Linked DNA regions of Cricetulus griseus. The protein of the gene in region 1 purifies or fractionates together with the protein of each later gene. This does not show direct contact. Links are inferred from orthologs where the notes say so. Each region holds a gene or a part of one and is shown in the gene's direction. Other genes may lie near its edges.

Region 1 (7,088 bases):
TTATGCAGTCTTCAGGCCTCCAAAAGGTGGCAGTGTAGCACATACTATATCTCTTTGCTGTGGAAGGCTTGCTTAGCATCTGTCAGAGTATGGATGTGGAGGTTGAGAACTAGGTGAAGTCCAGGATATAGAGAACTAGGAAGGTACTTTCTTGGATGCTGTAGGGTCGTGTTTAGGTGTCACAGGTTCCACAGTTTATTTATCCACTTCCTATTTTCTAAGTTATTGATGATTATCACTGGCCTGCATTGCCTAAGCACAGAGAGACAGCTATTGACTGTGTGGGTAATACTTGAATGTTTTTGTTTTTTTGCAGTGCTTGCCAAGTGGTTTTTGTAACTGTCATATGACCTATCCACAGTGTATCCCCTACTCTGTGCTGCTGAAGGACCTGGAGATGAGGAATCTCCGGGAACTAGAAGACCTTATCATCGAGGCTGTCTACACTGACATCATCCAGGGCAAGCTGGACCAGCGAAACCAGCTGCTGGAAGTGGATTTCTGCATTGGCCGTGACATCCGAAAGAAAGATATCAATAATATTGTCAAGACCTTGCATGAATGGTGAGGCTGCAAGATGGAGGGGAGCTTCTAGTATGCCCTTTGTGCCTCTCTTTACAAAATTGTGACGTTCAGAAGTCAGCCAAGGGTTTGTGATAGGCCTTGCAGGCAGCCAGGAAAACTGGGACCTCAGGACACAGAGACAGAGGGTAGGGACGCATTTGTAATTACAGCTGTATGGCAAAAGGAATCACCCCAGCCTTCCTTGTGCCTGGGTTGTAAAACTGACTTTAAATACAGCAGGTCTGTTTAACAGTGGGCTATAAACTGTTTATGTGGAGATGCAGGTAGACTCTGCATCCTAACTGTGTGGCAGTAGGTCTGTACCTTCCAAACATTAACTCAGTTTGGCCAAGCTCAGAAAGTTAATGTTTTTCAGTAACTTGTTAAGCTAGTTAGTACTGGTGGAACATCGTGAGGGATATATCAGTGAACGGGCTTTTGTGATTTGGAACACAGATGCATAGAATATTTGACAATTGTCTGAGTATATAAAGAATTGGGCAACGGGGTATGGTGGGACATGCCTATAATCCCAGCGCTCAGGGTGCTGAGACAGAAGGATTATGAGTTGGAGGCCAGTTGGAGAATCTAGTTTCCAGCTGACCCCCTGCCCAAAAAAAGTAAATGAATTTAGGAAGAGAACTGGGACTCTGAGATGTAGTCTTATTTTAGTGGAATTTGATATTTGCAAAAGTGATTATATGTTCTATAAGGATTTGCTCTTGGATTTAAATGATTTGGAGCTTATGAAGCCAGAGCTTCATAGGGAACCATGAGGAGGTTTTGAGTGAGAGAGAATTATTGGGAGTGGTGAGACTGTCCCATATAGGCTCGTTGCATGCTGTAGTCATTAGGCAGAGTGGACAACTTTGTGCTGGAAGATAGGGAAACTTGCTTTTTGGGGGGTTGCCTTGGAACTATGTATCCCAGGTTTGAGGGATACATGGCTTACCAGTTTAAGGTTTGCCCTAAACTCTAACTCTGCCTCCCAAGTGCTGCCACACCCAGATTTTTTTTAAGATTTATTTGTTAGTGGTACATGTGTTTAGTCCCTCAGAAGGTAGAGGCAGGCAGAACTCTGGGAGTTGGAAGTCAGCTTCATCTACAGAGTGAGTTCTATAATAGCCAAGGTTATACAGAGAAACCTTGTCTCAGGACTAAAAAAAATGTATTTATTTTTATTTTATAAGTGTCTTCCTATCATGTGTACAAGTGCACTGTGTGTTTTTCTGGTGCCCGTGGAGGTCAGAAGTGGGCATCCGATTCCTGGAACTGGAATTATGGGTGCTTGTGAGCTTGTATGTGACTGCTGGGAACTGAACTGAGATCCTCTATACGAGCAACAAGTGTCCTAACCATTGAGCAATCACTTCATCCACTAAAAGAGACTCACAGAATTCCTTTTCAGGTGTTAGAGGTGATTTAGAAACAGAATTATTGTCCTGAGAGATAAGTACAAATACGGCCAAATGTTGACCACATTGAATAGTAATGGTCGGTATGTGAATATTCATTATATAACTTTTCCAAAACATTTTTTTTTTTTTTTCCCGAGACAGGGTTTCTCTGTGTAGCTTTGGAGCCTATCCTGGCACTCGCTCTGGAGACCAGGCTGGCCTCAAACTCACAGAGATCCGCCTGCCTCTGCCTGCCGGGTGCTGGGATTAAAGGCGTGTGCCACCAATGCCGGCCAAAACTTTTGTTTCTGAGAAAGGATCTCAGTTTATAGACCTGGCTGGTGTTGACCAGTCTAACCTTGACTTCAGAAATCTGTCTGCCTTTGTTTCCTGAGTGCTGGAATTAAAGGCTGTGTCACCAAGCCCAGTCTATTTTTAAAATTTTTAAATAAAAAGTGGGAAAATAAAAGTAAGTTGTTGGTAACTAGGAATTAGCTTCAAATTCTCAAGAAAAAGGCAGTCTCTAAAATAGTATGCTTTTAGGAAATGTAATTTTTCTGTCGTAGAAAGGGATCAGTCAGTGTTACCTGTAGTTTGTCCCTCCTTCCATCTTAGTCTGTACAATTGTTTCTTTTTTTTTCTTTTTTTTTTTAATTTTTAAATTTTAATTAGAAAGAAGATTATTTTACATGGCAATCCCAAGTCCTTCTCGTCCCCTCCTCTTTGACTCCCCAACTAACACCCTACCTATCCCATACCCTTTCTGTTCCCTAGGGAGGGTGAGGCCTTCCATAGGGGGTCTTCAGAGTCTGTCACATCCTTTGGGATAGGGCCTAGGGCTACCCCCTTGTGTCTAGGCTCAGGGAGTATCCCTCCATGTGGGATAGGCTCCCAAAGTCCATTCCTATGCTAGGGATGAGTACTGATCCACTACAAGGGGCCCCATAGATTTCTGAGTTCTCCTCACTGACATCCACATTCAGGGGGTCTGGATCAGTCCTATGCTGGTTTCCCAGCTATCAGTCTGGGAACCAAGAGCTCTCCCTTGTTCAGGTCAGCTGTTTCTGTGGGTTTCACCAGCCTGGTATGGACCCCTTTGCTCATCATCCTCCTTCTCTGCAACTGGATTTCAGTTCAGTTCAAGGTTTAGCTGTGGGTGTCTGCTTCTACTTCCACTAGCTGGTGGATGAAGGCTCTAGGATGGCATATAAATTAGTCATCAGTCTCATTATCAGGAGAGGGCATTTAAGGTAGCCTCTCCTCTGTTGCTTAGATTGTTAGTTGGTGTCATCTTTGGAGAGCTACAAAATGTCTGGAGAGCTCTCCAGACATTTCCTTAGTGCCTGATGTGTATGGCCATACCACCCAGAACACACCAAATCTTGTCTGTACAACTGTTTCTAATGGGCTGCAAAGATGGGAAACTGGGGCTGTATTCTAAGAAACTCCCCACAAGCCACTGTATCTATGAACTTGTTTGGAAGGAGAGAAGGGACTGCTGTAACCATTTGGCTTCACTGCTATTTATGGCTGGGTGTCTCCGTTGCAGGTGTGATGGCTGTGAGGCAGTTCTGTTGGGCATTGAACAGCAAGTTCTGAGAGCCAACCAGTACAAAGAGAACCACCACCGGACTCAGCAGCAGGTGGAGGCAGAGGTAAAGAGAAATGTTACATTCGTTCTCCTCTTTAGGGTGCTCCTAGATACTAACTAGTTTGAAGTGTTTTTGTTTTTGTCATGTGCTTTCATTTGAATGCAACAAATAGCCCCTAAACATGTCTTGGGTTTGATACTGGAATGTAGGAATTAATAGAGACGATAGAATGTGTAATTCTCCAGTGTACACACACTTTGCAGTTACTGAGGAAGAGAAATGTTGGAGATGTGTTTTAAAAGTGGATAGACAGGAGCTGGAGAGATGGCTCAGCAGTTCAGTGGATTCATTGCTCTTACAGGACCTAGGTTTGGCTCTTAGCACCCACATGGCAGCTCATCACCTGTAACTCCAGTTTCAGGGGATCCAATGCCTTCTTCTGGCCTCCATGGCTCTCACATGTACACAGATGTACACTCAGGCACACTCATATGCACATAAAATAAAATATTAAAAACCATTGAAATGTGAAAGAAATGAGGAAAGGGCAAAGTCACCTCTTCATACCAGTTAAAATAACCCGTTAATTACTAGTTTTTGTTTGTTTGTTTTTTGAAACAGGGTTTTTCTGTGTGGTCCTGGCTGTCCTGGAACTTGCTTTGTAGACCAGGTTGGCCTCGAACTCACAGAGGTCTGCCTACCTCTGCTTCCCAAGTACTGGGATTAAAGACGTGTGCCACCACCACCTGGCCTTAAGTACTAGGTTTTTTTTTTTTTTTTAAATTTTATTTTTTAAAACATTTTTTTTAAATTTTATTTTACAAACCCATCCCAGTTCCCCCTCCCTCCCCTCCTACTTCGCCCACCTTTCCCTCCTCAGAGAGGGTGAGGCCTCCCATTGGGGGGGGGGGGTCAATAAAGCCACATTGAGTTGAGGCAGGACCAAGGCTCTTCCCTCTGTATCTAGGCTGAGCAAGGTATCCCTCCAAAGGGAATGGGCTCCAAAAAGCCACTTCATGCACTGGGGATAAATCCTGGCTCCACAAGTACTAGCTTACTAGGAAACTTAGAGCAGACTGATGTAGGTGAAGAGGGCAGAGTGCAGAGCCTTTTTGATGGTTCTCATCATCCCCTGGCTGAGCCATGCCTCAGTTTACGGCATCCTCGCCTGAACACATATCTACAAAGAGCAAAGGAGATTCTGTCATAGCCTTCTGTGGTGTTGTTTCTCTTATGCTTGACTCAGATTTATAAGCATTTTTTCAACTGAGTAGGTGAGATATATTTTTTCCATTTGTCCTTAAATTACATTGCTGTTCTCAGAGAGGAGAAACTTGATGTTTTCCTTCCAAATCTTAGAGCGACTGCTTTCTGGTGAGTTTTGCCTTCTAGAGCCTCCCTCCGAGTTCAGTCACCTTATGACAAACTGCCTGAGAATTCTCTCGTTTAGCCTTTTATATAAGTAACATTATTTAAATATAGTTCAGCATACCTGGGGGAGACAGAATACAATAGTATCGTTCTAAGGCTTTGCGATGTCTCTGAGGAGGCATTCTGGAGGGAAGGAAGGATGGCTGCAGCACCACAAGGTCCCTCTTCATTGCATTTGCTTTGGGAATCTATTTTTCTTTATATTTGAATGTGCCTGTGTATGGTGTTGTGTGGAATGTTAATATATAGCTATTGCTACACATTCACAAAATAGGCTATGTTCCCCTCACATAGGTAATAGAACAAGAGTAAGTGCTATTTTTTATTGTGTAGAAAATCCCTCAGGAGTTAAGTTGTTACAGTGTGCTAAATCCATGCCTCCTAGGTGCCTTATAGAGAGCAATTCTCACCATCTTCATAGCATTTCCCGTGGGCTTGATTTCTGTTTGCTCTTTTTGATTTTTGCTTGCTTTTTAAAATTCATCCCAGGCTGGCTTCAAGCTTTCTATTGTCCTTCTTCAGCCTCTGGAGTACTGGGACTATAGTTAGCTGTCACCACACCTGTCTGTCTCCCACACCTGCCCTAAGCTCTCCCATTCCCTCTCCCAAAGGCAGTTTCCTCCCCTGGGGAGCTCTTTTGTCTCTTGCTCATCTTTAGGGTCTCTGATCTCTGATGGTACCAGGCTACATTTTGTTAACAGGTGTGCCCCACTGAGAAATTCCTGATGCCTGTGCTTTGAGAAGCTCTATGAACTCTAGGTTTCTCGGGGGTGGGGGTGGGGTGGGACAGAGGCAGCCTCTAAGCCAGTCCCTTGAGGAAGGAAACCTGAAAGATTTAGGTCAAAGAAGACACACTTGTGGGAGTACTTGTTATCAAATGGGTTGGATAGATGGTGATGTAGATGACTGGGTACCTTAAAATCTTTGATGCTAAAATGGGTTTAGCTGGTAGACCTGCCTAGTAGCCATTCTTGAGTCCTGGACATGGGTATCCACACTCAGTTCGGTACTGCCTGGCCAAAGCACTAGTTATCATTGTCTATGTTTCTGTCTGTCACCTATTTTTCTTCCTTTCTGTGTATATTTGTGGGTACAGGTGCACAGAGAACCACCTCAGGTGGCTTTCCTGGGTACTCTCCTACTTTTTTTTTTTTTAAACTGAGTCTCTCATTGGCCTGGAAATCTCCAAGTAGGCCAGGCTGACTGGTCAATGAGGGCCAGGGGATCTGTCTCTGCCACCTGAGCACTGGGATGTAAATGTCTTCTACTATGCTTGGTACTTTGTGTATGGGTTCTGGAACCAAATTCAGGTCCTTGTGCTTGCAAGGTAAGCACTTTGCTCAACCATGTTATCGCCTTAGCCAGGTAGGTGGATTTTTTAAAAAAGCAGAGTTGTGATTTTTATTAAAAGACTGTCTTTTAGACATGGTCTCACCATGTAGTCCTGGCTAGCCTACAACTCACTATATAGATCAGGCTGGCCTTGAACTCACACAGAGCTGCCTACTCTCATCTCCCCATTGTTAGGATTAAAGGTATGTGCCACCATGTCTGGCTAAAGACATTTAAAAAAGATTTCACTTTTATTTATGTGTCTATTGTGTGTCCATATGAGTGTATGCCACATGCATTTGGGTATCTGAGGAGGCCAGAAGAGGTTGTCAGATCCCCTGCAACTATGGGAGGTTATGAGTTGCCAGATGTGGATGTTGGGAACTGAACTAGGGTCCTTTGCAGGAGTAGCAAGTATTCTTAACTGCTGTGCCATCTCTCCAGCCTCAAGCTGAAGAAACTTTTGAACATCAGTAAAATGTATTCCCAAATCCTGAAAAGCACTGAAATCTGAAACACCCCAGGTTTGAGTCATTTCAGATACTCAACCTCCATAGTGATCCTGATTCAGTATGCAACTTGCATCCATTTGACCTGGAAAGCTCACTCTGTGATGTTCCCACAGTGTGCAGAGGTAAATAGAAGGCTATTTATACCAGTACCAAACACTAATTCTTTTTTTTTTAGAATTTTATTTATTATGTATACAACATTCTGCTTCCATGTATATCTGCACACTAGAAGAGGGTACCAGATCTCATAACAGATGGTT
Region 2 (7,518 bases), on another chromosome or scaffold:
ATCTGGTGACAGAATAAGGCAGTGACTTTGAAAGTTTACTTTTGGGTTCTCACAAGGGCTCTTAGAGGTGACCAAAGGTATCCAAGGTATTAGGGGAGGATACCTAGGGGATCCATCCCTGTACATTTTGGGTTCAAAGCCCAGGGAGGTAGGGCAGGAAAGCTGCCTCAAGTAGTATTGTAGGTATTGTGAACTCCATGTCTTTGTTTGTTTGTTTTTTGAGACAGGGTTTCTCGGTGTTAGCAGCTCTGGCTGTCCTGGAACTCACGTCGTAGATCAGCTGGCACAAAGGTCTGCCTGCTTCTACCTCCCGAGTGCTGGGATTAAAGGCGTGTGCCACCACTCCCAGACTGTCTTTTTTTTTTTTAAATAAGAATTTAGCTAGGCACAGTGGCACAAGCCTTTAATCCCAGCACTTAGAAGGCAGAAGCAAGTGGATCTCTGATTTTGAAGTCAGAGCTGGTCTACATAGGGAGGTCCAGTTCAGCTACAGCTACATAGTGAGACCCTGTCTTGAAAAAAAAATACAAAGAAAAAAAAAGAAATTTAAAGATTTATGTGTATAAGTGTTTTGTCTGTGTGTTGGTGCACCACAAGCACGCATGATATCCAGAGGCCAAAAGAGGGCATCTGATCCCCTGGATCTGTGAGCTGCCATGTGGATACTGGGAATCAAATCCTGGTCCTCTGGAAGAGAAGTGCTCTTAATTGTGGAGCCATTCTCCAGCCCCCAAATCTGTATCTTTTGTTCACTTGTCTTGTCATTCAAGACAGGGTCTCTCTATTATGTAGCTCTGGCTATCCTAGAACTCGATGTGCAGGTCAGGATGATATCTAACTCAGGGATTCATTTGCCTTAACCTCATGAGTACTGGGATTAAAGGCATGTGACATCATGTCCAACAAAACTCAGTATCTTGATTCAACCTTACTCCTTCAGATTTCTCCTCCATAAAGTTGGCTGGCATTACCTGCCCTGGTCTTGATGCAAGCCAGGCCTGCTGTAAAGACAAATTGAATGATAATGGTCATCACAGCAAGAGACCAGAGATTTCAGAAGCACAGGGGAAAGCTGTTCTGTGGCAAGAGGAGTGACTGAAGACATGCTACATGCCTGTGGCACTGCCATCACCCTCTAGAATTTTTACTTTTAGCTGCTTGTTACTCTAAGCTACACAAGTAAGGGGGAGAACTCAGGTGGGTGGGATAGGGTGGTGGTGGACTTGAGTTTGAAATCTGGGATACTGGCTTCTTCTCTTTCCTCCCTCCCTCCCTCCCTCCCCCCAAGACAGGGTTTCTCTGTGTAGCCCTGGCTCTGGCTGTCCTGGAACTTGCTCTGTAGCCCAGGCTGGCCCTGAACTCACAAATGCCACTACTGCCTGGCTGATACTGGCTTAACAGCCATAGAATCTGTTCACAACAATAGGTCCACAGTGTCTTACAATCTCCATGTGAAAGTATTGACTGCGAGAACTCTATGGAAACGCACAGAACACACTCAGAATTCCAAGAGCAATAATGAGTTGCATCAGGCCTGACGTCTGGGTAGGTCTTGTCAAGATTCTGCTCAATTGTGGAGTTTATCTTTCATGCCCTCACATAGGATCTGTGGGTCAAAGTCAGATCCCCTGATGCTTCTTCACTTTGGTTGGTGATATTAGGCGAGTCATTTACTCTGGGTTTCACTTTCCTCAACTTTAAAATTAAGAAATTGAATTAGATGACCTCTGTGGTTAGTCAAGTCTTGGCTGAAGACTTTTTTTTTTTTTTAATTTTTCTTCCTCACATAAAATACGTAGCAACGAATGCTGTTTTGATTCTTGCCGAGTATGTTTTGAACAGAAAGACAAAGGAAAACCAGTGAGTTTCTTATTAATGAGTACTGCAACTTTTGATACATTTGTGCGAGATTCATTTTTGGCATATTATAAGGCTTATGTGTCAATACCAGTACTACTGAGCCTTACCGATTACACAGGGTAGAATTACGTATTGGCAAAGTTATCAGGCAGCGGTAGTCTGCCGGGCTTTAGAAAGATCGATTCCTTCCTTCACTTTTCGCTTCCGCTTTTGGAAACAGCCAATAAATACACAGCAATTTACGTATAATACAGAAAACTACGGATCCCAGAAGCCAATGCGCTGGGGAGGTGCTTTCTGGTCTTTCTATCCCCCCGCCCTTCCCGCCCTTAAAAGCGGAACTTCATTTCCCAGGAGCCCTATGATGTTCCTCCGCTCGCGCCGACGTTCTCCCCCCGCCTCCCAGCTCGCGAGCCTCGCGCCAAGCGCGCGCGCGCGCGCACTGCACGTAACATGCGAGTGACGCATAATATGTGGGCCGCTCAGGAGCCGTGGTCGCGCTGTGTGTGTGAGTGAGGGAGAGTGAGTGCGGGACCAGAGGCGGTGTGTGTGAACTGTGGCCGCTGGAGGGGTGCGGGGAGAAGCGGCGGAGCCGCCCGCGAAGGTAAGCGGGGACAGGAAGGAGCCGACTCTCTGTGGGGAGCGCGAGGAGAGCGAGCGCGCGGCCGGCTGGGCGGGAGAGTGGGCGCCTCGCTGGGGGAGGGGCGGCACCTGCTTCGGCTGCCGGCGGCGGCGAGGGGGCGGGCGGGACCACCCGGGAGGCTGGGCCTGGGGCCTGACAGGACTTTCCTCCTCCTGATCCCTGGCCCGGGGGCGGGGCCTCAGGCTCTTCCTCCAGTCTTCCAAAGAAGCTTCCTTAGAGTAACTCTTCCGCCCGGAGTGGGGGGCAGGGATGTGCCCGCCTCTACCTGAAGGAGGTGCTCTTTCATTTTCTCTGGTCCGCTCCGAGTCTCTGACGAGCCGAGGGGCTCCCTCTCCCCTGCCGCACGGTGGACCCCTTCCCGGACTGTGTCCCCGCCTCCGGCTTCAGTCACCTGGGCGGGCTTTCCCCTCCTCCGGCTTCGTGCCACCTCCCACTTGCACCCGCCCTGCTCTTGGACAGGGCTAGGGGGAGGAGCTTTCCGGGAGCCCCTCCTACTCCTACCATGCAGTGGTGAGCCGAGGGGCAGAGAGGTGTGTGGGTGCCGACCTAAGGTTGCCTGCCAGGCTTCTTGGGAGCTCGTACCCAGGGCTCTTAGTTGTTTTCTGGTGGGCGGGCCGTTTGCCATGCTCTGTCCTGTTTCTAGAAGGTGTCGGTCTGTTTGCTCTTACTGCAGTGATAGCTCTTTGTTTTTTCCATTTGTTGAGGAATTAACTCTTAGAGTTTTGAATAAATGACTACCACTCGTTTTTGTCTGCCTCCTGTTGCCCCCCTCTGTCTGTCTCCCCCACTCCTGGCTCTCTTTCTCTTCTTCCTGGAACTGGCTCTGTAGACCAGGGTGGCCTCAAACTCGGAGATTTGCCTGCCTCTGCCTCCCCCCCCCAGTGCACTATTAACGCCCCCGTCTGCCAGTTTCTTGTATCTCTTTCCTGTGAAGCCTTTTAACTATTCTGCGTGTTTTAATTATTAATTTATTGTAGCACTATCATCCTGTTGCAAGCCCTTTGTTAATGCTGTAGTTGGAGAGGTTCATTGGTAGCATCACTTGAAGGCTTCCCCCCACCCCCTCCGCCCGTGTTTCCTGGCATTTACCTTTAAGGCTTTTATAAACCTGTTTTGACTTTAGGAGTTGATACAGTATATTTCTTCCAGATGTCAAGATTTGTGTTTGTATATAGCAGTTTTTCATTAACAGTTTTCGAGTAGGGGTATATTTTTGGGTGTTAAGGTAATATGAGGAAATTTTACACATTTCTTGAGCATAACATTTTATTTACATTGTCTTGTTCAGTTATTAAATTTAATAAAATGTAATAAAACGAGCTCCATGTTAAATTGAAGTGATTGGAGTTGGTTTATAACTACTGTTGTTTTCATAAAGTACACAGGACAGTAATAGTTATGTGATTATGTGTCATAGTGTTAAGGTTTTGCTTGAAGCTGTAAATTCGGAATTTCTCCCCTTTCTCCTGTGGTGTTGGGGATTGACCCAGGGCTCTCTTCCTCCCTTATGGCTTTTGAAATAGAGTCTCTGTAACCCAGGCTGGTCTCAGACTTGTGAATGTGCCTCATTCAGCTTTATAAGTTCTGTGATACACGTGTGCACCACAAGCTCAAGTTGACCTGCCTGTCTCCCTCCCTCCCTCCCTCCCTTCCTTCTTTCTTTGTGCTAGGAATTGAATTTAGAGTCTCAGGGACAGGCCTTATCATTTACCTACACCTTTTACTTCTTTTAAGTAAGGGTTGCAACTTTCCTGAAGGAGTGCTGTCTTCCCTCTTTTTCTTCGTGGCACAGGATCTATTTTAACAGACTTTATCTTATATTTGGGGACAGTTTTGCTGAATCTTCTATTAAGTATAGTGTAGAATAGAACCTATTTTTCTTTTTGGGGGGGATTTCAAGGCAGGGTTTCTCTGTGACTTTGGAGGCTGTCCTGGAACTAGCTCTTGTAGACCAGGCTGGACTCAAACTCACAGAGATCCGCCTGCCTCTGCCTCTGCCTCTGCCTCCCAAGTACTGGGATTAAAGGCATGCGCCACCACCACCCGGCCCAGCTTGATTTTTGAGTCAGGATCTTACCAAAAATCCCTTTCGGTAGAAAAGCTAAATGAAGTGATTATCTTTAGTTTCACCAGTTAACCGCTTTGTTGTATATTCTGTCTCTGTGTTTATTTTGTGGAATTACTTCAGGTTGTAGGCACATCACTTCTAAATTCTTTGGCACATTATCTTTTTGTTTGTTTTTCAAGACAGGGTTTTGGGGCTGGAGAGATGGCTCAGTGGTTCAGAGCATTGGCTTTTCTTCCAGAGGACCTGGGTTCTTTCTTAACAACCACATGGCAGCGCACAACTGTCTGTAACTCCGGTTCCAGGGTACCCGATACCCTTACGCAGACAAGAACACCAATGCACATTAAAAAAAAAGTTGATCAGGACAGGGTTTCTCTGTATAGCCCTGGTTGTCTTGGAAGTGCTCTATGGACCAGGCTGGCCTCGAAATCAGAGATCAAACTTGATCTGCCTATGGAGTGCTGGGATTAAAGGCATGCACCACCACCTCCTGGCTGTTTTTTCAAGACATTGTTTCTCTCTGTGTAGTCCTGGCTGTCCTGTAACTCACTCTATACCAGACTGGCCTCAAACTCAGATTTGCCTGCCTATGCTGGTATTAAAGACATGCACTATCACCAGACTGGCTTTTATTTAATATAAGGTAGAATTCAGACCTAGGGTTTTATAATAACATGCAAATGCTCTACCACTGTCCTGGATCTGCAACCTTGTGTGTGTTTCTAAGTTGAATTCTAAAATTTTACTGTTATAATGTCCTTGAATTCCCCTTCATTCTATACCCCCTCCACACACACATACAGGGTGTTTCTTTGTTGTCCTGGAACTTGCTGTATAGACCAGGCTGGTCTTGAACTCCCAAGTGCTGGGATTAAAGGCATGTGTCATGTCCACTCCCTGTTTTCTTTTTTTAAGACAGGGTTTCTCTATGTAGCTTTAGAGCCTGTCCTAGCGCTAGCTCTTGTAGACCAGGCTAGCCTCAAACTCACAGAGATCTGTTTGCCTCTGCCTTCTAAGTGCTGGGATTAAAGGCATGTGCCTTTAATGACAGTTGGGGAATGGGGTAGAAAGGAGGTCTGGGCTTGACTGCATTTTCCTCATGCAGGAAATGAGCTGTTCCAGCCTTGCCTGGATTTTCCAAGCCCCTAGGCCAGTCTCCATCTCTGTGTTCGAGTGGAGAGAAGATGGACAATCACAGAGAGTGTGGCTTAGAGGACTCTGCTTCCCAAGTGCTGGGATTAGAGGTGTGCACCACTACCATCTGGCCCCAGCTATTTTCTTGTGCTTTTAAAAACTTTTTTTTTTTTTTTTTTTTTTTTTTTTTTTTTTTTTTTTTTTTTTTTTTTTGGTTTTTCTAGACAGGGTTTCTCTGTGGCTTTGGAGGCTGTCCTGGAACTAGCTCTTATAGACCAGGCTGGTCTCGTACTCACAGAGATCCACCTGCCTCTGCCTCCCGAGTGCTAAAAACTTTTTTTTTTCTTTAAATTGTGCTAATATGTGGAAGAACCTTGAAAATAGTATGTTAATGTAGTAGGTATGGTGGTGCACGCTTGTAATCTAAATACTCATGTAACTTGAAGCTGAACAATCATGAATTTGAGTTCAAGCCCAAGTTACATAGTGACACTGTCTCAAAACAAACAAACAAACAACCCAGCAAACCTTGGGTTACATGAGTGTCTTAGGGTTTCTATTGCCGTGAAGAGACACCATGACTGCTACAACTCTTGGTTTTTCGAAACAAGGTTTCTCTGGCTTTGGAGGCTGTCCTGGAACTAGCTCTTGTAGACCAGGCTGGTCTTGAACTCTCAGAGATCTGCCTGCCTCTGCCTCCTGAGTGCTGGGACTAAATGTGTGCGCCACCACTGCCTGGCAACTGCTACAACTCTTACAAGGGAAAACATTTAATCGGGGTGGCTTACAATTTCAAAGGTTTAGTACATTTTCATCATGGTGGGACATGGTGTGCTGGCAGACTTGGTGCTAGAGAAGGAGCTGAGAATCCTACCTCTTGATCCGAACGCAGCAGAAGGAGTCTGTATCCACACTGGATATAGCTTCTGCATAGCAGACCTCTACAGTGAAGCACTTCCTCCAACAAGGCCACTTTCTCCTAATAGTACCACTCCCTATGTATTTGTGGGCCAATTACATTCAAACTACCACAGTGGGCCTAGTGTGGTAGGCCTGAAGGCCCAGGAATCAAAGATGAACTAAGAATACCCAAGGCTCAAGGTCTACCTGGGTGACAGCGAGTTTAAGGACAATTTGGGCAAATAGACCACTCAAAAAACAAACAAACAAACAAACAAACAAGTCAGGTATTGGGGGTGAAAGCCTTTAATCCCAGTGCTGGAGGCAGAGGCAGGTGGATCTCTGAGTTCGAGGCCAGCCTGGTCTACAGAGTGAGTTCCAGGAAAGCCAGCGCTACACAGAAAAACCCTGTCTCAAAAAAACCAAAATGCTCCCCTCCCCAAAAAACAAAAAAGAAAACAACCCAAACCAAAATATCAGCTACCCAAAAAACAAAACTAAAAAACAAAAAGCCCTAAACAAATATTGGGGGTATAGCTCAGTGTTAGAGTGATTTCTTAATATATTTGAGACTCTAGAATTCTAGTACCAAACAACAAAATGAATAAACCAAGAGTTAGTGATGTAGCTCAGTAGTGGAGTTCTTACTTAACCTGAGCAAGGCCCTGTGTTCAATCCCTGTCATTGTCAAAGGACAAAACAAAAATTGCCAACCAAAAGTAAGTGAAAGCAGCAGAAAGCTGTAACAGTGTATGTATTCTAGAAGGCTGATTGCTTAAAGGGCATTCTTTACAGGTTTTTTTTTTTTTTTTTTTTGCTGGGGCGGGGAGTGGGGGTGTGGGGGGTGTGTGGGAGGTGGGGTGGGGAGTGTTGAGGGGTGGTTATCAAAGCCCTGGCTATCTTGGAGCTTATT
Region 3 (7,518 bases), on another chromosome or scaffold:
TTCTCTCCCATTTCTCCACCACATATTTGCTTATTATAATGGGCGCTGGGTGGACCCACGGATGTCTTCCTCCAGCCAGGACCTTGAGGATACTGGCTGGCTAGCCCTGGATTAAGCAGAACTGCATGGGGGAGGCATGGGTTGCTTCCTGTCAGTAGGGCCTTGAGGACACCACTGCTGGCCTGCCTGATCTCCCTTCTATTTCTGCATTATCTGCTTTTTTGTTTTTCCTTCACAGCTCTTCTCGCATGTGAAGTTTAATTAATACCTAAGGTCTCTGCAAGAAGTAATAAATTCTAGCATTCAATATATTAATCTATCAATTTAATGTTTAAAATTTCTAGATTTTGTGTTAGGGGTTTTTGCCGAATTTGCTCAGTAGACCGGTTAGCCTCGAACTCACAGAGGTCCGCCTGTCTCTGCCTCCGAGTGCTGGGATTAAATGTGTGTGCCACCACTGCACAGCTTGCCTGCATGTATGTTTGTGTATCATGTGCATGCCTGGTGCCTGTAGAGGTCAGACAGGAGCCCACTTGTGAGTCCCCTGCAGCTTCTGGAAATCAAATCCAGGTCCTCTGGAAGAGCAGTCAGCACTCTTAATCAGTGGGCTATCTCTCCAGCCTTTATATTTAATCTTTGCAAGAGCTCTATGATGTAGATGCTTTTATACTAATTTCACAAATGAGGAAACTAAGACTGTGGTTAAGTAAATCACTCAATATCTAAGAAGTGGAGATCTTATCCCATCTTAAGCCCATTTTCTTGAGACAGGGTCTCATTGTGTAGCTCTGGTTAGCTGGAACTCACTAGAGTGCTGGGATTAAAAGTGTGAGCCACTACCACCCAGCCAAAAACACACTTATAACAAAGGTTTCTTTTTTTGTGTAACTCTGAGTGTCCTGGAACTCTCTTTGTAGACAAAGGCTGGCCTTGAACTCCCAGAGATACGCTTACCTCTGCCTCGTGAGTGCTGGTATTCAAGGCTGGAATTCAAAGTGTGTGCCACCATCAGTGAGAACTTTCATTTTAAAGTATTCCAGATGGTACATTTTATAAATGACTTATTGCCCCACAAATGCTAGGCAAGCTCTTAGACACACACACTCACACACACACACACACACACTCTCTCTTTCCCCCTGACTCGCCCCACTCCCAGATGATTTAGAATTCATCTTTGTAGCAGAAGGGCATCGAACCTGCAATCCTCCTGCCTTAGCCTCCTGTAAGCTTACAGGTCTTACCCACCAGGCCTGGCAAATATGTAATTTAAAAATATATAATATATAATATATAAATTTTGCAGGGCGGCAGAGTCAGTTTGATCTCTGTGAGTTTGAGGCCAGCCTGGTCTACAAGGAAAGTTCCAGGACAGTCAGAGCTGTTACACAGTGAAACTCTGTCTCAAAAAACCAAAAATAAATAAATGAAATAAATAAATAAAATTCAAGGGTCCATGGAGCTTGCTGGCCACTAGCCTAGTTCAAGGTTCAAGTGACCTGTCTATCTTAAGGCAATGTAGCCAGGGAGCGATAGATGTCTTCATGAACACCTTTATAAAGGTACAAAAGAATGCTGTTAGTGTGGTGGTAGTGATGCTCGCCTTTGGTCCCAGCTCTCGGGAGGCAGAGGCAAGGAGAGCTCTGTGAGTTAAAGGCCAGCAAAGTCTACAGAGGAGTGCCAGGACAGGCTCCAAAGCTACACTGAGAAAACCTAGTTCTAAAAACCAAAAATAAATAAACTCACCCTAAACAAACAAAACATCCCCAACCCCCTAACCAAATGTTAGGAATTTGCATAATGCAATAACAGCCAACCTGTGAGATCCCTATATAAACTCTATTCTCTTGTTTAGAGATTCGTGATTTGAAGAGACACAGTTTGGAGAAAATAGTATAGGATGCTCTAGGTCTAGGATTTTTTTAAAAGAGTTTTTTGTTTGTTTTTAAGATTTATTACATATATACTGTTCTATCTACAAGCCAGGAGAGGGCACCAGATTGAATTGTAGATGGTTGTGAGCCACCATGCGGTTGCTGGGAATTGATCTCAGGACCTCCGGAAGAGCAGTCAGTGCTCTTAACCTCTGAGCCATCTCTCTCCAGCCCCTAGGATATGTTTGAAGGAGTCCGAGATTAATAAACACTTCTTGAACAAGCCGGGCATTTTTGAGCAGAGTGATGCTAGTTAACACGTTCGTACATCCATTTACTAAACGAGTAAATCTTGACTGGGCGCCTTTTCCCCGAGTCAGTCTTTACAGAGGACAGCAGTAAAAAAAAAAAAAAAAAAAAAAACCCTTTCCTGGCTAATCTCATCCAGAGCTGCGAATGAATCGCAGTCCCCGGATCTGGGGCGGCGAGCGGGTGGGGCGGCGCCGGCTCCAGCCAATAGGGGGCGCGCTCCGCCCTGCTCCCTGCCTCCGGACCCAGCGGCTTGCAGGCTCCTCGGTTGCTCCCAAGCACGCCCCCGCCCGCAGCGTCACGTGACGCCACCACGGAACCCAAGGAGCCGGGCCTAAGCCGAGTTAAAAGTCGTTGCCGGCGGCCGCCGCGAGTGCAACCCGAGAGGCTCACCCGGAGACGAGTGTGGCAGGCCCGGGGAGGTAGATGCTACCTTTTCCCGGTCAGGTCGGCTCCCGGTCCCTTGCCACCATTCGCCGCTCGCGTCTCCTTGAGCCTTTGCATGCGCTCTCTCGCGTGAGCAGGCCCCGGTTACCATGTAGCGGGAAAGCCTGAGGGAGCACGGGTGCCGGGTACGAGCTCAGCGCTGACGGCACGCAGCTTCGGCGTGTGTGGCCCCCCTTCCCCCTTCCGCCCCCCGCATCTCTGCCGCGGCCCGCGGGGCCCTGCTGGGAACTCCGGCCTCCCGAGGAGGCCTGGCCCCGAGCGCCGCCAATTCTCGCCGCCGCCTCTCGCGAGAGTCCAAGTTGAAGGAACATGGCGACATCTAATCTGTTAAAGGTAAGCCCCTGTCTCCAGCCGGGTTTCTGCTCGCGGCCGACGCGTTTAGTTCCTGGGTGAGCACCGGGCTCCGAGTGAGCGGCGAGATGTGAGAGTGTCTCAGGCTTGTCCACCGGAAGGGACCCGGGACGGCTGCCCCGAATACCCCGACGCCGGGCCCTGGCCTCGGGGTCCAGAGGCTTCGGTGGTTGCTCCCGCTGACTGACTGACTGACTGACTGACTGACTGACTGACTGGGAGGGATGCTTTCAAGGGACCAACCCAGGCTGCGGGCGACAGCAGTGTCGCTGGGCCCCCGGCGGGCGGCCCAGCCATTGTGACTCTTAGGGTCCGTTTCTTCCGAAGCGAGAGTCAAAGACATAATAGGAAAATTCTCGACAAAATGCTGCCTAGCAGGTTTTGACTAGGACCCCCCCCCCCCCGCTTCCTCCCCGGTTCCTTAATTTCTGTTCTCACTCTGCCTCCAGGAAATGCGAGTCAGATAGCAGTGCCTCCCACTCCGCCCCGTTTCTCCCTTTTCTGCATGTTACATCTTCCCTCCAGTTCTCTTGTTCTTGACTTCATGTTCCCATGCTTTTTGTTCCTCGAGGAACTGTCTCTCCCAAGCCTCGACTCCCCTTAGAGGACATCAGGTGACACCCGATGAAGTGCCACCGTCTTTTTAGCTGGTGGGAAAGTTTTTCTTATCAAAGAAGACATTGGGAAGTTTTTAAGTGTCAAGAAAGGCCCGGGGTTGGGGGATGGGGGGCAAATTCTGTTAAAAACTTAGGTAAGGACTGAGGAAGATATGGGGCAGGTTTGAGCTATTTGTGTTTTTAGTTAAGAGTCCTGTCCTAAAAGTATTGACTGAAATGGGGGTAGTGATTACCTGAGGGAAAATAAACACTGTATTCAGGCTCTGTGGATGAATAATAATAATGAAATAGAGAATGTGCCCTCCCCCCCCCCAAAAAAAAGCAGGGTCTCTTTAGCCCCATCTTGCCAGAATTTGCTGTATAACTCAGCAGGCCTCAAACTCACAGAACTGCCTCTGTCTGTGCTGAGATTGAAGACTTGCATCACCACCCTGGAGAGTCCTTTAAAAGGACCTAGATTCCCTGAATTTGTCTCTTGTTTTTTTCTTTGTTTGTTTTGTTTTGTTTTTTAAGACAGGATTTCTCAGGTAGCCTTGGCTGTCCTTGAACTAGCTCTGTAGAGCAGTGTGGCTTTGAACTCAGTGATCTGCTTGTCTGCCACCCTCTTCCCCAGTGATGGAATAAAAGCCATGTGCCACCACACCCATCTGAATTTCTGTCTCTTAAGAGCTTCATGGTATTGAGTTCCTTAACCTCTGCCCAAGCTTCTTCCTTCAGGAAGATGAAATTATCAGTACCATTTTTCATAGCCCTGTTGTGATCAAATGATTTACTTATGATGCTTTAAAAACAGTGATTGCACTTAATATGCAATTCACTAAAGCACTAGAACTTCTGTGCCTATTCCTATAGGAAAACCATTGGGCAGTGGCAACACACACTTTTAATCACAGCACTTGAGAGGCAGAGCAGGTGGAGGCCAGCCTGGTCTACAAAAACAAGTTCCAGGACAACCAGGGCTGTTAATACAGACAAGTTGTTACCCTGTCTTGAAAAACAGCTAACAAGAAGAAATAAACTAAAAAGAAAAAAGAAAAAAAAAAAGAAGAAAGAAAAACAGGTAAAACTGGGCCTGGGGTTGCAGGTCATTACCAATATGAAGGTCACTGAGGCAGGAGGATCATGAATTCTAGCCTAAACTAGTAGTAGTGAATTTGGAACCAGCTCAGACTACATTATATATAGACTAATTCACAGAAATGATATTACTGACTCTACTCTGCTTTGTTTTTCATAATACTGTAGCAAAATTCTTTTTAACATTTCATTTGTTTGTTTGTTTTTTGTTTTTGTTTTTTCGGGACAGGGTTTCTCTGTAGCTTTGGAGCCTGTCCTGGAATTCACTCTGTAGACCAGGCTGGCCTTGGCTGTCTGCCTCCCGAGTGCTGGGATTAAAGCCACCACTGCTCAGCTTAATCCCAACAACATTCTTAAAGTAGAGGCAGGCTTGATGTCTGAATTCCAGGCCAGCCAGGGCTATTGTCAGATCCTGTCTTTAAAACAAAAAAGAAAAAATAAATAAAAGATAAGAGTCTGAAGTCAGATGTCAAACACACTGCAGAGTTTTTGATGACCTTGTCTTGTGAAATAATAACCATGGGAAAAAGCAAATTTTGGAAATGAATATTATTTAGTATGTGATTTATTTTTTATTTCTTTATAGTTCTGGTTGGTCTTGGTATTTCCTGTATAGATAGATTAGAAAGATGTACACCACCAGGTCTGGCTTATAGTTTAAGATGGAATTTACAGTATGATGGACATAACAAACAGACATTTGATTCTGTTATCTGCACCTCAGTTGCCACATATTCACCTCTTTGAGGTTTTTTTGGAACTTTTTCTCCTTTTGTTGGAAGGTTGAATTCTGAATACATATTGAAAAGTAGTAATCATCCCATCGGTGGTGGATGGTACACACCTTTAATTCTAGCACGTGGGGAGGCAGAGGCAGGTGGATCTCTAAGTTCTGTTGAGGCCAGCCTGGTCTACAGAGTGAGTTCCAGGACAGGCTTCAAAGCTACAGAGAAACTCTGTCTTGAAAAAATTCAAACCAGGGCCTGGAGAGATGGCTCAGAAGTTAAGAGCAAAGGCTGCTCTTCCAGAGGTCCTGAGTACAATTCCCAGCGACCACATGGTGGCTCACAACCATCTATAATGTAAGATCTGGTGCCCTCTTCTTGCATGCATGTCATTGGGTTTGCTAGGATTTAGTTCTGATTTAAAATTTCTTTCATAGAAATTTACTAACACTGTAAATCTCAGGGGTCGCACAGCATGTTGGGCAGAAATCAACCATGGCTTGAGTTAGATCACCAGGTGTGTGTATACATGCTGGCAGAACATTATACATAACAAATAAATTTTAAAAAAAAGAAGTCACTTCCAAAAAAAAAGGCATGCTTTTATATTGCAATTTTATTTTGAGGTTTTATTTTCTGGTTAGATCAAATGAGCCGCCATTGGATCTTGGAAATCTTTTGAATATAGAAAGATGTATAATATATTTTGATATAGAGTTATCACTGGGCTAGGGGAATTAAATCTGACCCCTCTCACTTGGGTACTTTATCTGTTTTTTTTCCTTACACAGTCTGTCTGTAGAACATTTCTAGCAATCTGATAGTGCCCTTTCATCTATTTTAGATTACTTCTGACACTTAATTCTGCCTGTTCTTTTTTCTTTTGCAGTTGTCATCTGGGCTCAGAGTGCTCATTTTCTTCATTTCCAGTTGATTATCCTATTCCATACAGCAACTGTTCAAACATTTTTCACACCTCTCAGTTTTTAGCATATTATCTAGCAATTTAGGCCTGTATTTCTCTTGGCCAATACCACACATTTTTTTCTAGTTTCTCTGTATTGTACTTTTTCAAGTCACCTTCCACCTGTTCTTTTTTAGCCTTCACTGTCTCCCAAGACTTGGTGGCATGTCTCCCTCTCTGCTATCCCTTTTTTCTTTTCCCTTTTCTCACTTCTCTAAATATAAGAAAGTTTGTGTCTTTTGTGTAAACTTAGCCAGTGTCCTGCTTCTGTTCTCAGGCTTTTGGCTGTGTGCTTCTGTGTAGCTCTTCTTTTCCCTTAATTTACCCACCTGGCTATCTTGAAGCTATCAAGTGTAAGAGCATCGATAATATCCTGATTGTCAAACCAGGTTCTTTTTGATAAGCTTCATCCATTCTTGTATTATTGCTCACATTGTCTGCTGTTTTTCTTGTTTTGTGACTTTTTCCCCCCTCCCTCTGTATTTTACTGTTTACCCTGTTTTTCACTGACATATAAATTATTTCTCAGGATTCAATCTTCAACCCTTTCTTTGTTCTGGTACAGTCCCAACTCCTCTCTTTCTGTCTCTCTCTGTCTCCGTCTCCGTCTCCGTCTCTCTCTCTCTCTCTCTCTCTCTCTCTCTCTCTCTCTCTCTCTCTCTCTGTTTCTGTGTGTTTTCTCTCTCTGTTTCTCTCTGTTTCTCTCTCTCTCCCTCTCTCCTCCCTCCTTCTCTCCTCCCTCCCTCCCTCCCTCTCTGTCTCTCTCTCTCTCTCTCTCTCTCTCTCTCATTTCTCTGTGTAGTCTCAGCTGTGCTTGAACTCTGTAGACCAGGCTGGCCTCTCTACCTCTGCCTCCTGAGTGCTGGGATTAAAGGAATGCGCCACCACCACCAGGTTCTATTTCATTCTTTTTATCTTAGTGTTGATTTCTTTGAGACCTTCCCAGTTGACTTTTTTTTTTTTCTAGACAGGGTTTCTCTCTGTACTTTGGAGCTGGCCTCAGACTCACATAGATAGGCCTGCCTCTGCCTCCCAAGTACTGGGATTAAAGGAGTGTACCACTACCACATGGCATTGCAGTTGACTCTTAATAAGAAACTGAAAAAGAAATTAAACAAGAAGCATAGTTTTTTCTCAGTGCAAACTTTTTATCA
Region 4 (7,088 bases), on another chromosome or scaffold:
TTGTTTTTTGAGACAGGGTTTCTCTGTGTAGCTTTGGATCCTGTCCAGGAACTGGCTTTGTAGACCAGGTTGGCCTTGAACTTACAGATCCACCTGCCTCTGCCTCTGGAGTGCTGGGATCATTACTGATCTTAACAAAGTCAAAATACATTTGAAACTGGGGCCTAGTAGCACAGGGTTGTAATCCTTGTGGAGTTCAAGGACATTCTTGGCTATAAAGCATTAAGTCTAACATGGGCTGCATGAAACCCTGTCTAAAAAAAATGCATTCAGAATAGTAATTTCTTGCTACTTATGCTGATTATTTATAATGATACCCATGACTGAGTTATTTTCATTACTTTGTTCTGTTTTAATAAAGATTATTAAAAAACCTATTAATAGGCTAACTAATCCTCCACCTCATTTTCTGTGGAATCATTCCTAAACCTCAAACTGCACAATTTATTGCCACCTGAAAAAGGCTTTTGAATAATCTTAATCTATGATTAACTCACTAATTAAAAATGCTTTTCCTATAAGAAATGTTTTTGATTAATTCATTTGTTTTAAAAATATGGGCTGATGTTTGTTTTTTCTGTAATAGGGCAAAAAAGAACTTCAGGTCTCTCTTTTTCAAACCCTGGTGCTGCTAATGTTTAATGAAGGGGAGGAATTCAGTTTAGAAGACATCAAGCAAGCTACTGGGATAGGTTTGTATTGCATCCCCCAAGTAGCAAGCAATTGTGTAGTTACTGTGTTTAGAGCTCTGGGAGATACAAGGAAGTAATCCTGTCCTCGGTACTCTTTTTATTTTTCAAAGATGATTCATTTAATTATGTGCATTATTGTAAGCCTATATAAGTATATGTATAACACACATGCAGGAACCTGTTAAGGCCAGAAGGGGACATTGTATCCCCTAGAGCTTGAGTTAGGGGGTTGTGAGCCACCATGTAGATGCTGGGAACTGACATCTATCTGGTCTTCTGAAAGACCAGAAAGTACTCCTCAGTGGTGAGATGTCTCTCCAGCCCCCTCCTGTATTTCTTTTGTTTGTTTTGTTTTTCAAGGTAGGATTTCTCTAACAGCCCGGCTGTCCTGGCACTCATTTTGTAGACCAGGCTGGCCTTGAATTCACAGAGTGAATTCCCAAGCGCTGGGATTAAAGGTGTGCCACCACTGCCTGGCTTCTCTGTATTCTTAATAATGTCAAAACCAGTAAGTACCAGTATGTAGTGCTAACAAGAAGTATGTTAAGAGAAGCTAGAGATTATTGTGGAAGGAAGTGGGACTTGAGTTAGGCCTTTAAATTTTGGTTGGAGAGAAGGCATCTGAAATAAAGGAACTAGTATGAAGAAAGGCTTGGGTAGTGTAAGTTGGAAGCATGAAAAGTTTGTAGCTTAGAATGGTGAGTTATAAAATTCAATAGGTAAGATGTATAAATAGACTGATGAATACAGCTGAAACCTGAGCTATAGTGACTTAAAGGAAATAACCTATTTGCACAACTTACCTGGCATTAGTAGGGCCAGCCACCCGAAACAGGAAAAGATTCTAGCCTAGAAACTGTAAAGATAATTGTGATATGAAGTTCTAAAGGGCTTCTAGTAGAACGATTCCAACAGCAATGGAATTACTAGAGCCATATGGAATGAAGGAGAAGGAGGACTTAAAAGATGAGTCTAGGGGTTTTCATTGAATTAGGTTAGTAGTAGTGTCAGTAGCAATGAAGCAGAGGGTTAATGGAGAATAGAACATACTGGAGTGATAATAAAACAGTCAAATGGTATGCCCTTTTAGTGATTGACTTTAGAGAAGGGGACTGTTACATCAGAAATTTTAGTAGTTGTCTGCATGGGGTAACAAATGTTTTTAGAAGACAACTAGAAAAATATGTTACTGGATAGCACAAAGAGCAGGTGTTGGTGATATGGGGAAAAAAGAATTTAATAGAGAATGTTTATAAATTAAATTGATGTTGAATGTAGTGTTGTGCATGCTGCTAAGCATTATTTCTTCTTCAGAGGATGGAGAATTAAGGAGAACCCTGCAATCACTAGCCTGTGGCAAAGCTAGAGTTCTCACTAAAAATCCAAAGGGCAAAGATATCGAAGATGGTGACAAATTCATTTGTAATGATGATTTCAAACACAAACTATTCAGGATAAAGATCAATCAAATCCAAATGAAAGAAACGGTAAGCCTTTTGCTCTCTCGTTGGACTATATTAGGTTTATATGTGTTTCTAGTAGAAATTTACAGACTACAAATTAATATTATGTGCAGCCAGGTGGTGGTGGCTCACTTTAATCCCAGAACTCGGGGAGGCAGAGGCAGGTGGATCTGTGTGAGTTCACGGCCAGCCTGCCTGGTCTATTGAGCAAGTTCTAGGACAACCTCCAAAGCTACAGAGAAACCCTGTCTGGAAAACCCAAAAAAAAAAAAATTATATGTGCTTGAATGTTACGCCTCATGTGTGTCTGCACCACATCAGGCCTGAGACCCATATGCCAGAAGAGGGCAGTGGATCAACTGGACCTGGAATTATAGATGGGTGTGAATGGTGCTGGAATGTAACCCAGGTCCTTTTAACTGCAGAACCATCTTTCTAGCCCTGAAATTTACAGCTTGTTACTGTTAACATTTCCTGTGCCCACATCTAGCCTAGTACATTTCAATGTTTGATTCTATGTTTCTTTTTGTTGAGGAGTAAACATAATAGGGTTGACAGTCAACATAGTTGTTTGGTTGTTTTGTTTTGTCAAAGGCTCCTGACCCTTGATGCCCAAGGTTGTTCTCTGACATCCCTAACCGCACTGATATAATGCACATACCCCCACACGTTTGTAAACTATCAACAGAATGCTAAATAGCTACATAATCTTGTACATGGCCATTGAAACTTTTAAAAAAGTTCTGTATCTGAATCTTAATCTGTGATCTTTTCCTTAAGATGAATTCATGAAAGTAAATTTTTGGATCAATGGGTATGAACATTTTGAATTTTAGGCAAGGCCAGAGGACAACCTCCAGTGTCATTCCTTAGGAGCTATCCACCTTGTTTCTTGTCATGGTCTTTTACTTGCCTGGAACTCACTAACTAGGCTAGGCTGGCTAGGTATTGAGTTCCAGGAATCAGTTTTTACATGAGTTCACGAAAATCTAAATTTAAAAATCAGGTCCTCATGCTTGCAGGGCAGGCACTTGGTCAACTGAGTCTATCTCCCCAGTCCTCAAAGGTGGTATCTTTTTTCTTAACCTGTATAGATACTGATTTATTTGTATTGATTGGTACAGAACAGTGTGATTAGAACAGAAAGGCCCTATATGTGTCAAGTTTTTTTTCTCTTGTGTCTGTATTTATCAGGTCCCATTTAGGTAACACTGTTATGTCCCTAATGTACAGTTTGTGTTAATAATTAAGTTTGACTTCATTTGAAAACTCTTTTTAGGTTGAAGAACAAGCAAGCACTACAGAAAGAGTATTTCAAGATAGACAATACCAAATTGATGCTGCGATTGTCCGAATTATGAAGATGAGGAAAACACTTAGCCACAATCTTCTTGTCTCAGAGGTCTACAATCAGCTGAAATTTCCAGTAAAAGTAGGTGTTTCTGTGTCTCCATACTGAACTTGTTATAAATGAAAAAATACATTTGATTTTTAGACAATAATCTTGCAAATATAGATAAAAGGCTTAAAGCCATTTAGAAGGACATGAATTTATTTCCTATAGTCATACATACAGTTCACAAAAGAGTGTTGTTGGTATATGTATACAACTGTGACAAATTGGGAAACAATTTACAAAAGCCCCTCCCTGTACTTGAAAGTTTAATGAGTAAATATGACTTTGAAAATTTTGAAGTTAATTCACTATGTATCTTTAGAATCTTCTTTTCTGGAGATAACTTGGCATTTGACATATTTGGTTATTAGATTGAGTTATATCTTGTTTAGTTACCTTATAAATGTTTCTCAAATCTGTTACAGAGGCTGCTGGCTGTATTTTAGTGGTAAAGTAGTTTTAGTGCCTTTGAAAATGTCTAATAATATTTCTAGTAAACTGAAATTGGTCAGTGTATTGACATGTTCCAATACAAATGTCCAGCAATATAGGTATTTATAGACAGTGAGGTGGTGTACTGGACTATTCAAAATTTTAAAAGATTTCTAAACTTTTGTAATAAACATTTGGTAGAAGTTGTATAGACTCCTGGCTGTTAGGATTCCTAGCGCTTTGGATTTTGATAAGGCATTTAATCTTGCTGAGCTTGTTTAGAATTGATAATTATACTTAGCTCCACCATTTTTTAAAGATTCATTCATTCATTCATGAGTGCTCTATCTGCATGCACACCTCTACACCAGAAGAGGGCCCCAGATCTCATTACAGAAGGTTCTGAGCCACCATGTGGGTGCTGGGGATTGAATTTAGGTTGTCTGGAAGAGCGGCCAGTGCTTTTAATCCCTGAGCCATCTCTCCAGCTCCCTCGCACTATTATTTTGAGGCTTAAGTGAGATGGAAAGCACAAAACACGTAGTACTAAGTTTGGTATGTATGTAGGTATGTAGTAGCTATTACTTTTAATATTACTTTTAATAAGGTAGTCTGCTTCTCTAAACCTCATGCCTTCTCATTACCACACTTGCTCACATGCTCACCTAGTCATTTCATCTCCAGCAAGAGTGCTTACTGATGTTAGAATGGAAGAGATCACTCACTATAACATTGATCATAATTAAACCAAAGCCATTTGATATTTAAATCTCAGGGTTGTTAAATGGAGTTTTACTTCTCTATCTATTTTTCTCCTTTGCTTTTTTGTTTTGTTTTGTTTTGAGATAGGGTTTCTCTATGTAGCTTTGCAGTCTGTCCTGGAACTCACTCTGTAGACCAGGTTGACCTCGAACTCCCAGAGGTTTGCCTACTTCTGTCTGCCGAGTGCTGGGACTAAAGGCGAGCACCATCAATGCCTGACTCTCCTTTGCTTTATTTTGTTTTTTTAGTCAGGGTCTTAACGTGTTCCAAGGCTTACTTTGAAATCAGTTCTTCATATCCGTTGATTCCATGTCTGTGACTTCAACAAACCAAAGGTTAAAAACATCCTTTCCAAATGAATTAGCTAGCCAGGCATTGGTGATGCACACTATTAATCTCAGCACTTGGGAGGCAGAGGCAGGTGGATCTCTGAGTTTGAAGCCAGCTGGTTCCAGGGCAGCCAGGACTGTTACACAGACCCTGTCTTGAAAAACCAAAACCAAAAGAAACAAAAAAAAAATTAATTAGCTGGCTCGGCATAGTGGTGAATGCTTTAATCCCAGCACTGGGGAGGCAAAGACAGGCGGGTCTCTGAGTTTGAAGGTCAGTCTGGTCTAAATAGTGAGTTCTAGAATAGCAAGGACTACAAAGAGAGACCCTGTCTCAGAAAACAAAACCAAAAGCCAAACAGATGCATTAGCTGTATGCAGTAGCATGTACTCATAACTACCAGATGAGACAGCAATATTACTTGAGCCCAGGAGTTTGAGATCAACCTCAGTAATGCAATGAGATTCTCATCTTAATGAAAAATTGCATATATATTGAATATTGGTTTGTTTCCTTTTCAGTATTTGGACTTTAAATAGTAGTATAAGAAAATTCTATAACATTTATATTGAATCTTGGGTATTATAAGTGATGTGAAGATATTTATTTATATCAGGGTCTGACTGTGTAGCTCAGGCTGGCCTCAAAAGTCATGATCCTCTTACCTCAACTTCTCCAGTGCTGGGATTGTAAGCATGTGTCAATATACCTGGCCGAGATGTTTTTTAAGTTGTACTGGAAGAGTGCAGTAAGTTAAATGCAGATACTGAACCTTGACAGATTTGGGTGTGTCAGGGTTCTAGAACCAGTTACCTGTTCATATCAAAGAATGCTCTCATTACTTTTATGGGCCATATACAAATTATAGTAGCTTTTTTTAATTCAAGAGATGAGTATAATTATCAATGCAATGATATAAATTTCTTTAGAGAGCTTATTTTTAATTATGTGTCTTTGTATGGGTGTTTACTTGTGTACAGAGGTGTCAGCTCCACCTGGAGCTGGAGTTACAGGTGGTCCTGAACCACCTGACATGGGCGCTAGAGCTGAACTCGGATCCTCTTCAAGAGCAGTACACACTAACATGTTCTGTGCCATCTCTCCAGCCTTAGAATTTTGTTGTTGTTTGTGACAGGATCCAATACATCACAGGTTAACCTTGAATTCCCTTTGTAGCTGAGTCTAGGAATATAGGCATGCTCCACCATGTCCAGCTCTAAATTGTCACAAATTTTAAACTAACTGCAAGAATCAGAAATCCAAATCACTTATGTACATAGTTCATATTCATAGTAAACCAGAAACATACAGGTGTGAGTTAATGTGATATTTTATCAAATTTCATAGTATTGTGTGGATATGTGGTACTGGGGGCTATAACGTAGGACCCTTACATATGCACACTTTCTTCAAGTCTTGCTGTAGACCAGATTGACTTCAAACTCCCAGAGATCCACCTGCCTCTGCCTTTAGTGCTGGGAATAAAGGTGTTCACCACCACTGACCCCCCTTACATATGCTAGGTTAGTGCTATACTACCAAGAAAAAACCTCATCCACCCCCACTTGTTTTTGCCAACCTTCTTGAAGTAACAGTCTTCATTCCTCATACACCCAAGTAGCTGGGATTATAGGCCTATGCTACTAGGTCTAGTATTTTATATAGTTTATATAATAAATTCTCATGCATTTTAAAATACATTTGTTAATTGTTTAGTTAGTTAATTTCCGGTTTTTTGTTACTTGTCTGCTGACACGGTGTCTTACTGTGTACCCAAGCAGCTCTTACTCTCAATCCCCTTGCCTCTGGCTTCCCACTTACTGCTATTATAGAAGTGTACTACAGGGCTCCAGCTGCATTTAACTTAACTTGAGACTTGTTTTGTTTTGTTTTTGTTTTTGAGACAGGGTTTCTCTGTGGCTTTGGAGGCTGTCCTGGAACTAGCTCTTGTAGACCAGGCTGGTCTCAAACTCACAGAGATCCTCCTGTCTCCGCCTCCCAAGTGCTAGGATT

The links.
Region 2: the proteins of Cops7b (region 1) and Dcaf1 purify together in Homo sapiens (affinity purification with mass spectrometry; 3 studies listed by BioGRID, with this or other methods). This does not show direct contact. The link is inferred for Cricetulus griseus from reciprocal best matches to the Homo sapiens genes COPS7B and DCAF1.
Region 3: the proteins of Cops7b (region 1) and Cul5 purify together in Homo sapiens (affinity purification with mass spectrometry; 3 studies listed by BioGRID and IntAct, with this or other methods). This does not show direct contact. The link is inferred for Cricetulus griseus from reciprocal best matches to the Homo sapiens genes COPS7B and CUL5.
Region 4: the proteins of Cops7b (region 1) and Cul4b purify together in Homo sapiens (affinity purification with mass spectrometry; 6 studies listed by BioGRID and IntAct, counting the BioPlex papers as one, with this or other methods). This does not show direct contact. The link is inferred for Cricetulus griseus from reciprocal best matches to the Homo sapiens genes COPS7B and CUL4B.

The regions. Positions count from the first base shown.
Region 1 is NC_048595.1:438,274,372-438,281,459, forward strand, and holds part of Cops7b (COP9 signalosome complex subunit 7b), read left to right. Parts: intron 1-316; coding exon 317-564; intron 565-3,510; coding exon 3,511-3,616; intron 3,617-7,088. UniProt on the Homo sapiens protein: Component of the COP9 signalosome complex (CSN), a complex involved in various cellular and developmental processes.
Region 2 is NC_048597.1:215,037,557-215,045,074, forward strand, and holds the start of Dcaf1 (DDB1- and CUL4-associated factor 1), read left to right. Parts: upstream 1-2,325; 5' UTR 2,326-2,464; intron 2,465-7,518. UniProt on the Homo sapiens protein: Acts both as a substrate recognition component of E3 ubiquitin-protein ligase complexes and as an atypical serine/threonine-protein kinase, playing key roles in various processes such as cell cycle, telomerase regulation and histone modification.
Region 3 is NC_048597.1:165,390,197-165,397,714, reverse strand, and holds the start of Cul5 (cullin-5), read left to right. Parts: upstream 1-2,463; 5' UTR 2,464-2,939; coding exon 2,940-2,963; intron 2,964-7,518. UniProt on the Homo sapiens protein: Core component of multiple cullin-5-RING E3 ubiquitin-protein ligase complexes (ECS complexes, also named CRL5 complexes), which mediate the ubiquitination and subsequent proteasomal degradation of target proteins.
Region 4 is NC_048604.1:28,553,966-28,561,053, forward strand, and holds part of Cul4b (cullin-4B), read left to right. Parts: intron 1-586; coding exon 587-692; intron 693-2,006; coding exon 2,007-2,179; intron 2,180-3,434; coding exon 3,435-3,587; intron 3,588-7,088.